Cricetulus griseus: one gene and its partner. Each later gene encodes a partner of the first gene's protein in a complex. Links are inferred from orthologs where the notes say so. Each region holds a gene or a part of one and is shown in the gene's direction. Other genes may lie near its edges. The genes, in order: Grk1 and Rcvrn.

Region 1 (4,514 bases):
TCCTCAGCCCCTTCCACAAGAGGCCTTCCTGGTGTGAAGGCAGTCTGGAGTTCTTCAGCCCTAACCCTCTCATGATCCTCCTGTCTTATAGCTTCCATGTAAATCACTCAGGAGCCTGCCAGCAATGGAGGCCTGAGCTCCTCGGCCAGGCCCTCTAAGGCAGGTGGAATGTGGATTTCAGTATGCTGAGTGGCTCTGCTGGCAAGATGGCATGGTTGAGAACCATGTTGCCTTTGGTCCTGATTGGTGCAAGAATCAGATATTGTCTGTCCAAGGTCACCAGCTGCTAAGTGGCGGGGCTGGGACTAGCACAGGTCACTTGGGGACAGTGAGATATTGTTTACCTCAAATATTTACTTGCCAATCTTCCTGTCACAAGCCCATGCTAGGAGGTGGAGGTGGGGGAGGTGGTTGGCATTCACCAGAAGGTTCCTACAGTCACAACAGGAAACTCTGTCCCCACCTGAAGTACTCTTCTGCTGCATACAGCTTTAGCCTCCTGATTTGGGATTTCATTCATTCTACAGGACTTCTCTTTCTCGTCCCTGCAAGTGCTCCCTCCCCGTGGCTCCTCCTTAAACTGTCAGGAGTACCTACAGACATGACAGTTGTGATCCCCAGGAGATGGTGACATGCCCATTGATTCTACCATTCCCATGTGTGGCCTGGGTGTGATCACTGTCTAAACTGGTTCTGAGTGTGCCCCCAAATGTGTCCCTGATATTTCCAATCTGTCTCAGGTGTACCCACCTGAGTCCCTGTGTCCTAGGTGCATCCCAGGCTTGTGTCTCATGAATCTTCCTGCTTGACAGGGACTCAATGTGGTGGTCTGTGGCTCCCCTGCACCCTGTCTTTGTCCTCTAACCACCTTGTAGCAATTCTTCTTCAAGGAGAAGACTAGTTGAGTACAATCAAATATCCACGATCTCACCTACAGATGGGGAAACTTGTCACTGGGTGAGGTAGCTTCTCTCCTGCTTCTCTCTTAAAGATAAAAATGAAACAGTGTGAAAGACAACCATCTTTGCAGATGGAGGTTGCTCCTGGGACTGCCTGCCCTCTATTGCAGACCCATGTTCCAGAAGGATATAGACAGGTCCTGTGCACCTGCCAGGGCTGGGGAAAGACAGAACTGCTCCTGGGGGCTTCCAGGAGTCTATGGTGTGCCCTTTCCTTGGGAGCACGAAGGCAACACCAAGGGAGAGAGAGCCAAGCTGAACTCTAATCCGATTTGGAGCAGCTTAGAGGATTGTCTTTTTATGGCACCTGCTTGGTCACCCCTAAGGTGTCCTCAGTGACCCCAGGGCTGGATTTAGCTAGATGCTTGTTAGCCCTGGTCTCCCTGGGCTTCTCAGTGCCTCCCCAAGCATCCTGGCCACAGCTGCATGCCTCCCTTGTCCCACAAGGGCAGGAACAGGCCATAGGCCAAGGGCACAGGGTCAGGCCTGCTTTGGCTTCAGGGGCCTTGAGCTTCCCTTCAGCTTATGGGTCCTAACACTTGAAGTGGACACGAGACATCATCAAGATGGATTTTGGGTCCTTGGAGACTGTTGTTGCCAACTCCGCCTTCATCGCTGCCCGTGGCAGCTTTGATGGAAGCAGCACCCCGTCTTCCCGGGACAAGAAGTATCTGGCGAAGCTCCGGTTGCCCCCACTGTCCAAGTGCGAGGGTCTCCGTGAAAACCTCAACCTAGAGTTTGAGAGCCTGTGTTCAGAGCAACCCATTGGCAAGAGGCTCTTTCAACAGTTCCTGAAGACAGATGAGAAGCATGTGCCAGCCCTGGAGCTCTGGAAGGACATTGAGGACTATGACACTGCCGATGATGACCTGCGGCCACAGAAGGCACAGGCCATCCTGGCTGACTACCTGGACCCACAGGCCACACTCTTCTGCAATTTTCTGGAGCAGGGCATGGTGGCAAAAGTGAGGGAAGGGCCAACTGGGAGTCAGGATGGCCTCTTCCAGCCTCTGCTGCAGGCCACACTGGACCACTTGAGCCAGGCCCCCTTCCAGGAGTACCTTGAAAGCCTGTACTTCCTGAGGTTCCTCCAGTGGAAGTGGCTGGAAGCCCAGCCCATAGGCGAAGACTGGTTCTTGGACTTCAGGGTTCTGGGGAAAGGGGGCTTTGGGGAGGTGTCCGCTTGCCAAATGAAGGCGACTGGCAAGATGTATGCCTGCAAGAAGCTCAACAAGAAACGGCTGAAGAAGAGGAAGGGCTACCAGGTAGGGAGGAAGCCCAGCAAGCAGAAGATGCTCTTGGGATGGAGGGATGGTGGGATGCCGGCCACCCACCTGTGGAGCTCTACATAGGCTTTAGCTACTGTGCATGTATCCTGTCATTTGGATGCCCCCTCCACCCCGCCCCAGCTCAGACAGCCATTGGCAGGGCCATTGTCAATCTGCACCACACTCAGGAGAAGTTCATGGGGAGAGCCAGTTGCAGGCAGCTGCTGTCTGGAGAGTGCATCTGGCTATCTAGAAACCTTTCCTCAAGGTGTGGTTCCTGTTGTGATTTCGTACAGGATAAAGTAAGGTGGGACTCTGTCAGTCGAACATCACTTTGGCAGGCACTGTCTACACGAGGCACACAACCCATCTGTGATGCTGGCATGCAGGACTACTCTTCCTGAACACAGGTTTCCAGGGGACAAGAATGGCTGGAGGACATAGGCAGGCTGCCAGTATTTTATTTCCGTCTTTGTTGGCGTCAGTGTCTAGTTAAGGCAGGATCAGTGAAAGCGGCTTATTGCCCAAGGGACACAGCCCTGCCGTACAGTATAGATAATGCTGTGAAACTCTTAGGGATTGACACCAGACCCAGCAGGCCCCTGAGCCCTCAGTGAAAGGTCAAACATTAGGTGCTAGCAGCAGGTAGGGGGTGCCAGACAAATCCAGGTACTTTTAGCAGGGGCCTTGGGGACTGCACTTCATGGCGGACTAATGTTAGTCTTTAAGGAAGGGCTCTATGCTCAGGTATGTGGCACACACCTTTAATCCCAGCACTCAGGAGGCAGAGGCAGGCGGGATCTCTGTTAGCTCAATGGTCTACATAGAGAGTTCCGGGAGAGCCAGGGCTACATAGTGAGACCATGTCTCAAAAATAACAAACAAAAAAACTCCAGTTTTATGGAACTATAATTTGAGTTCAAGGTCACTCACATCTATGTGCAACCCAATACAACACTGAATCTTTTCTGATTTCAGTGATCTGGTGGGACATATACAGAATCACCTTGGCCTACTGTCCTCATCCTTTCCACACTTTAGAATAAAGATGAACGATAAAGCGGGGTCTACCAGAAACTTGGGCTGCACTGGGAGTTAGCTGGGTACAAGCCATGGTGGAGCGAGCATGGTGCAGGGGGAGGGTGGATGCCAAGGCTGAATGAATGAATGAATGAATGAATGAATGAATGAATGAATGAATGCCAGATCTCACATATTGCAAGCCTGCCCTGTGCTGTGGCCAGAATGCAGGCTGTTCTCCACAGTGCATTCCTGAGGACTGAGGGTCACAACTCTGCTTCCAGGGTGCCATGGTTGAGAAGAGGATTCTGGCCAAAGTTCACAGCCCATTCATTGTGTCTCTGGCCTATGCATTTGAGACCAAGACTGACCTCTGTCTGGTAATGACCATCATGAATGGAGGTGACATAAGGTAATGGTATACAAACCTGGGGTTAGTTTCAACTAGGGTACCCAGTTCATGTCCAGTGGGCCCCAGGACTTAGGCTGTATCTGTCACTGCACACTCTTGAGCATGCCCATGATTGTTGGAGACAGATGACAGAGGGCGTGTGGTATTGTGGATGGCTGTGATGGGTTGAGAGGACTAAGAAATAAAAATTGACAATTCCATCAGTGCCCAGTCCTGTAAGAATAGAGATCTGGAAGACCAGCTAGAGCCAACTTGCCTGTTGCCTACATAGGAGAGTGCCACCCCTGATGGTGCCTGGGTTGGCTGAGCCTGATGGTGCTCTGAGGTTGTTTCTGCATCCTTGAGGAGGTCAGATGACTGGCTTTCACTGACTTGGTGACTTCACCAATCTTTACCTCAGTTTCCTGTTGTGTAAAATAGAAACAAATAATGACCAAGTCAGTGTCAGGAGGGTGAAATGGTGGGACCCTGGGTAACTGGCACACAAAGTTAAAATGATGAGATTCTTGGGTACCAGGTACATGGGGCTAACACAGTGAGACCCTGGGGTGCCTTGGGAGTGTAGGGCTCCACTAAAGGGAACTATAACCTGCAATGCCCATGTCTCTCCCTTCCTCTGTTTTTGTTTACATCACTTCTCAAGCAGAGCCATCTGCATTTCCTTCAGATAAGTAATGTAAGGCTAGACAATCAGTCTGTGTGAGAATCCCATAGAAGGAGAAGAGAGCTGCAAGGGATGCTGAGTGCTTCTAGCATTGCAGGTTGTTCTATCCTCCACTCCCGAGGGCCTCTGGTTATCTTCCAGCCCTCTGGTCTGCACCTAACCTCCCTGTAGCATATCTTCTAGCTATGAGT
Region 2 (3,007 bases), on another chromosome or scaffold:
AAGGGGCTGAAGGGACCCAGCCTTTCTCTGCATTCCTTCCTGAGTGTAGGGTACCTAAGGGGATTTCTGTGTCCCTGAGCAGACCTCTGCAAGTCTTGTTCACACCTCCCTTCCTCCTCCTCAGCCTAGTCTATGATCTTCAGAAACAATATACACAAACTGGGGTAAAATGCAAGCATACAGGTTCTAGAACAAGCTGCCTGTGTTAGAATCAATGCTACCCTGGGTAACTTTGGGCAAGTTTGATGTTTGCAAGTTTGCTTGCTGTCTGTAAAATGGGACTGACAATATCCTCTCTGTAAGGTTCTCTTGAGAATTAATCTAAAAATGCTAACACAAGTGATGTGAGTGTCCCACAGAAGTTAGCCTTTGTGATCCTAGGCCAGCCCTGCTGCAGAACTAGAATGCCTTGCAGACATGGAAGATGACCTTTGTGTTTTGTTTTTTTGTTTTTTGTTTTGGTTTTTCGAGACAGGGTTTCTCTGTGTAGCTTTGGAGTCTATCCTGGCACTCGCTCTGAAGACTAGGCTGGCCTGGAACTCACAGATATCCTCCTGCCTCTGCCTCCCAAGTGCTGGGATTAAAGGCGTGTGCCACCAACGCCCAGTGGAAGATGCCCTTTGATTCTTCTCTCCAGCCTGTGGGAGACAGGGACTGTGCTAATGGCTCCCAAACTCCAACCTCAGGGCTGCTGTGGGATTATTGTTGGGAAGTTTCTATTTTTTTTTCTAAACAAAACTATAGCATCTACTCAGAAGACTCAAATGGTACATGAAAGAGCAAATTTTCCTCCATAGTCACTGTCCTGTACCAAGGTCTCAAAGGTGTTGATGGTGCCTGGGGCCCGCCCTAGGGAATTTTGATTCAGTAGAACCTGTGGGGCTTTGGTAGGCACCTGGACTGTAAACCCCTTACCTTTAGAGGGCACCTGATGCTCCAGGCTGTTTGGGCATCAAGAAAGAGAAATGATGTGGTGGCCCAAATAAAGACCAGGGGCTTCCTTTTCTACACACCCTCTCCAACACTTACCTCTCATCTTTGTTTGAGGTGGGAGTGTTTAGTGTTGTATGCTGAGAATCAAACCTGGGCCTCATAGAGCTTTACACTGAGCCATGTTCCCAGCCCCATCTGACAAGAGACACAGATGAGGCAGGTTTCACAAGAGTAGCTATCCCAACAGGTGGAAGGGATAACTTGTTATGGTTTTGATTTCCATTTACCTAATGATTAACGAAGTTGATGACTTTTCACATACTTGTTGGCCATCCCTATTTTATTTATTTATTTATTTATTTATTTATTTATTTATTTATTTAAAGAGATGTCTGTCTAGTTCCCTTGTCTGTTTTTAATTCAGTTATTTATTGTTTGATTTTGTGTGTGGTTGGTTTTATTGGTTTTGTTTGTTTGAAACAGAGTCTTACTATGTATCTCTGGTTGGCCTGGAGCTCCCTGTGTAGATCAGGCTGGCATCTTTCTCCCAAGTGTTGAGATTAAAGGTGTATACTACTACCCTCAATGCCACTTACTGCTTTAGCACTGAGTAGCAGGTTTTCTTCATATATGTTATATACTAATCCCTAAGTAATCATTATCAAAGGTTTGTAAATATTTTCTCCTACCCCAAGGTAATCTTACTTTGTTGTCTTCTCCAATATGTAGAAACTTCTTAAGTTTTAGTATAATCCCAATAGTTCAAAAATCATTATTACAACCAATGTCACATAGCTTAGCACCCTCTAGGAATTATATAATTTGGGCTAGAAAATTAAGTAATCCAACCCTGGTAGATTTTGGGGTGTGGTGTGAGACATGGATTTCTCAGGACAACCAAGCCCTTACTCCTCTTTGTGACAAGATCTTTCCCTTGGTCTGCTATAGGCTATTTTCAAAATGATCAAGCCTGAGGATGTGAAGCACCTTCCAGATGATGAAAACACTCCAGAAAAGCGGGCTGAGAAGATCTGGACATTCTTTGGAAAGAAAGATGATGGTGAATCCCTTTGTCTTTGTTACCTCCGACTTTACGGTGTCTGCTGTTTCCAGAAGGATTGCCTCTTCTGAGTCACAGTGCTCAGGCAGGACTGGGGGACACTTTTTGTCACCACACTTTATCCAAGCTATCTTCAAAAGTCAGGGGTAGTGGTCTACCAGACGCTTGTCAGTTCAGGCTAGGTCTACTACGACCCTCCAGCTGATGCTAGTAATGGGGGGATCAGCATACTCCTATTACAAAACCTACTCGCTGCCTGGGGATTGGGGGAAGGAAGGAGAACACTTTGTATGCTAGGTTAGCAGTAAACTAGTAATCCTCCTGCCTCAGCTTCATGTGTATTGGAGTGTTGGTTTTGCCAGTCTTTAGCCTAGAACTAATGTAAAGTGTGCAGGCTCACTGGCCATGCATACACAATGACTGGTTTAGGGAAATGCAGCCTTTTATCTCTTCTGGCTGCTTGCTGTCCAGATGTTCCCTGCTCAGTGAGAACAGGAGAAAACAGCACTTCACTCAGCAGAGATCTCAGGAAGTTAGCTTCCATGATCCCAAAATCCCACCAAGAAAGGATCAGATTCAGTTACATTGACGGGCATTTATTGAGAAGACAGCCACCAGGGAGGGACCTAGGGACTGGGAAGATTCATGTCATGAGGACTTGGCCCCAATCCCGGAATCAGTACAGGGATGAAGGACAGGGAGGAAAGACAGGTAAAAAGACCTGGGCTGTGACACTCTAAGACAGTGCTGGCAAAATCATTAAGGTGTCCTCTCTCAGCTTCTTGATGTCCTCTCTCTGCTTAGTGGCTGTCTGGAAGCAGCCTCTGGGGCTTGAAGGAGGGGTGAATTCCAGAATGTGGCAGCTGGAGCTGTTGGTCCAATGGCACACATGGCCATATAGGATACGGTACAAGAATTGGTATCATCATACAGAGAGAGACAGAGGCAGAAACAGAAACAGAAACAGAAACAGAGACCGAGAGACAGAGACAGACTGACTTGATGTCAGACAGG

The links.
Region 2: the proteins of Grk1 (region 1) and Rcvrn are in contact, whole or in part, in an NMR structure (PDB 2I94), measured with the Bos taurus proteins. The link is inferred for Cricetulus griseus from reciprocal best matches to the Homo sapiens genes GRK1 and RCVRN. Residues at the interface, in NP_776598.1 of Bos taurus: Phe3, Gly4, Leu6, Glu7, Val9, Val10, Ala11, Asn12, Ser13, Ala14, Phe15, Ile16; in NP_776590.1 of Bos taurus: Lys22, Trp31, Ser34, Phe35, Glu38, Cys39, Phe49, Ile52, Tyr53, Lys55, Phe56, Phe57, Tyr86, Leu90, Thr93, Ser94, Phe188, Glu189.

Annotation. Positions count from the first base shown.
Region 1 is NW_023276807.1:67,387,403-67,391,916, reverse strand, and holds the start of Grk1 (rhodopsin kinase GRK1), read left to right. Parts: upstream 1-1,525; coding exon 1,526-2,224; intron 2,225-3,531; coding exon 3,532-3,659; intron 3,660-4,514. UniProt on the Homo sapiens protein: Retina-specific kinase involved in the signal turnoff via phosphorylation of rhodopsin (RHO), the G protein- coupled receptor that initiates the phototransduction cascade.
Region 2 is NC_048600.1:81,579,870-81,582,876, forward strand, and holds part of Rcvrn (recoverin), read left to right. Parts: intron 1-1,881; coding exon 1,882-1,993; intron 1,994-3,007. UniProt on the Homo sapiens protein: Acts as a calcium sensor and regulates phototransduction of cone and rod photoreceptor cells. Modulates light sensitivity of cone photoreceptor in dark and dim conditions.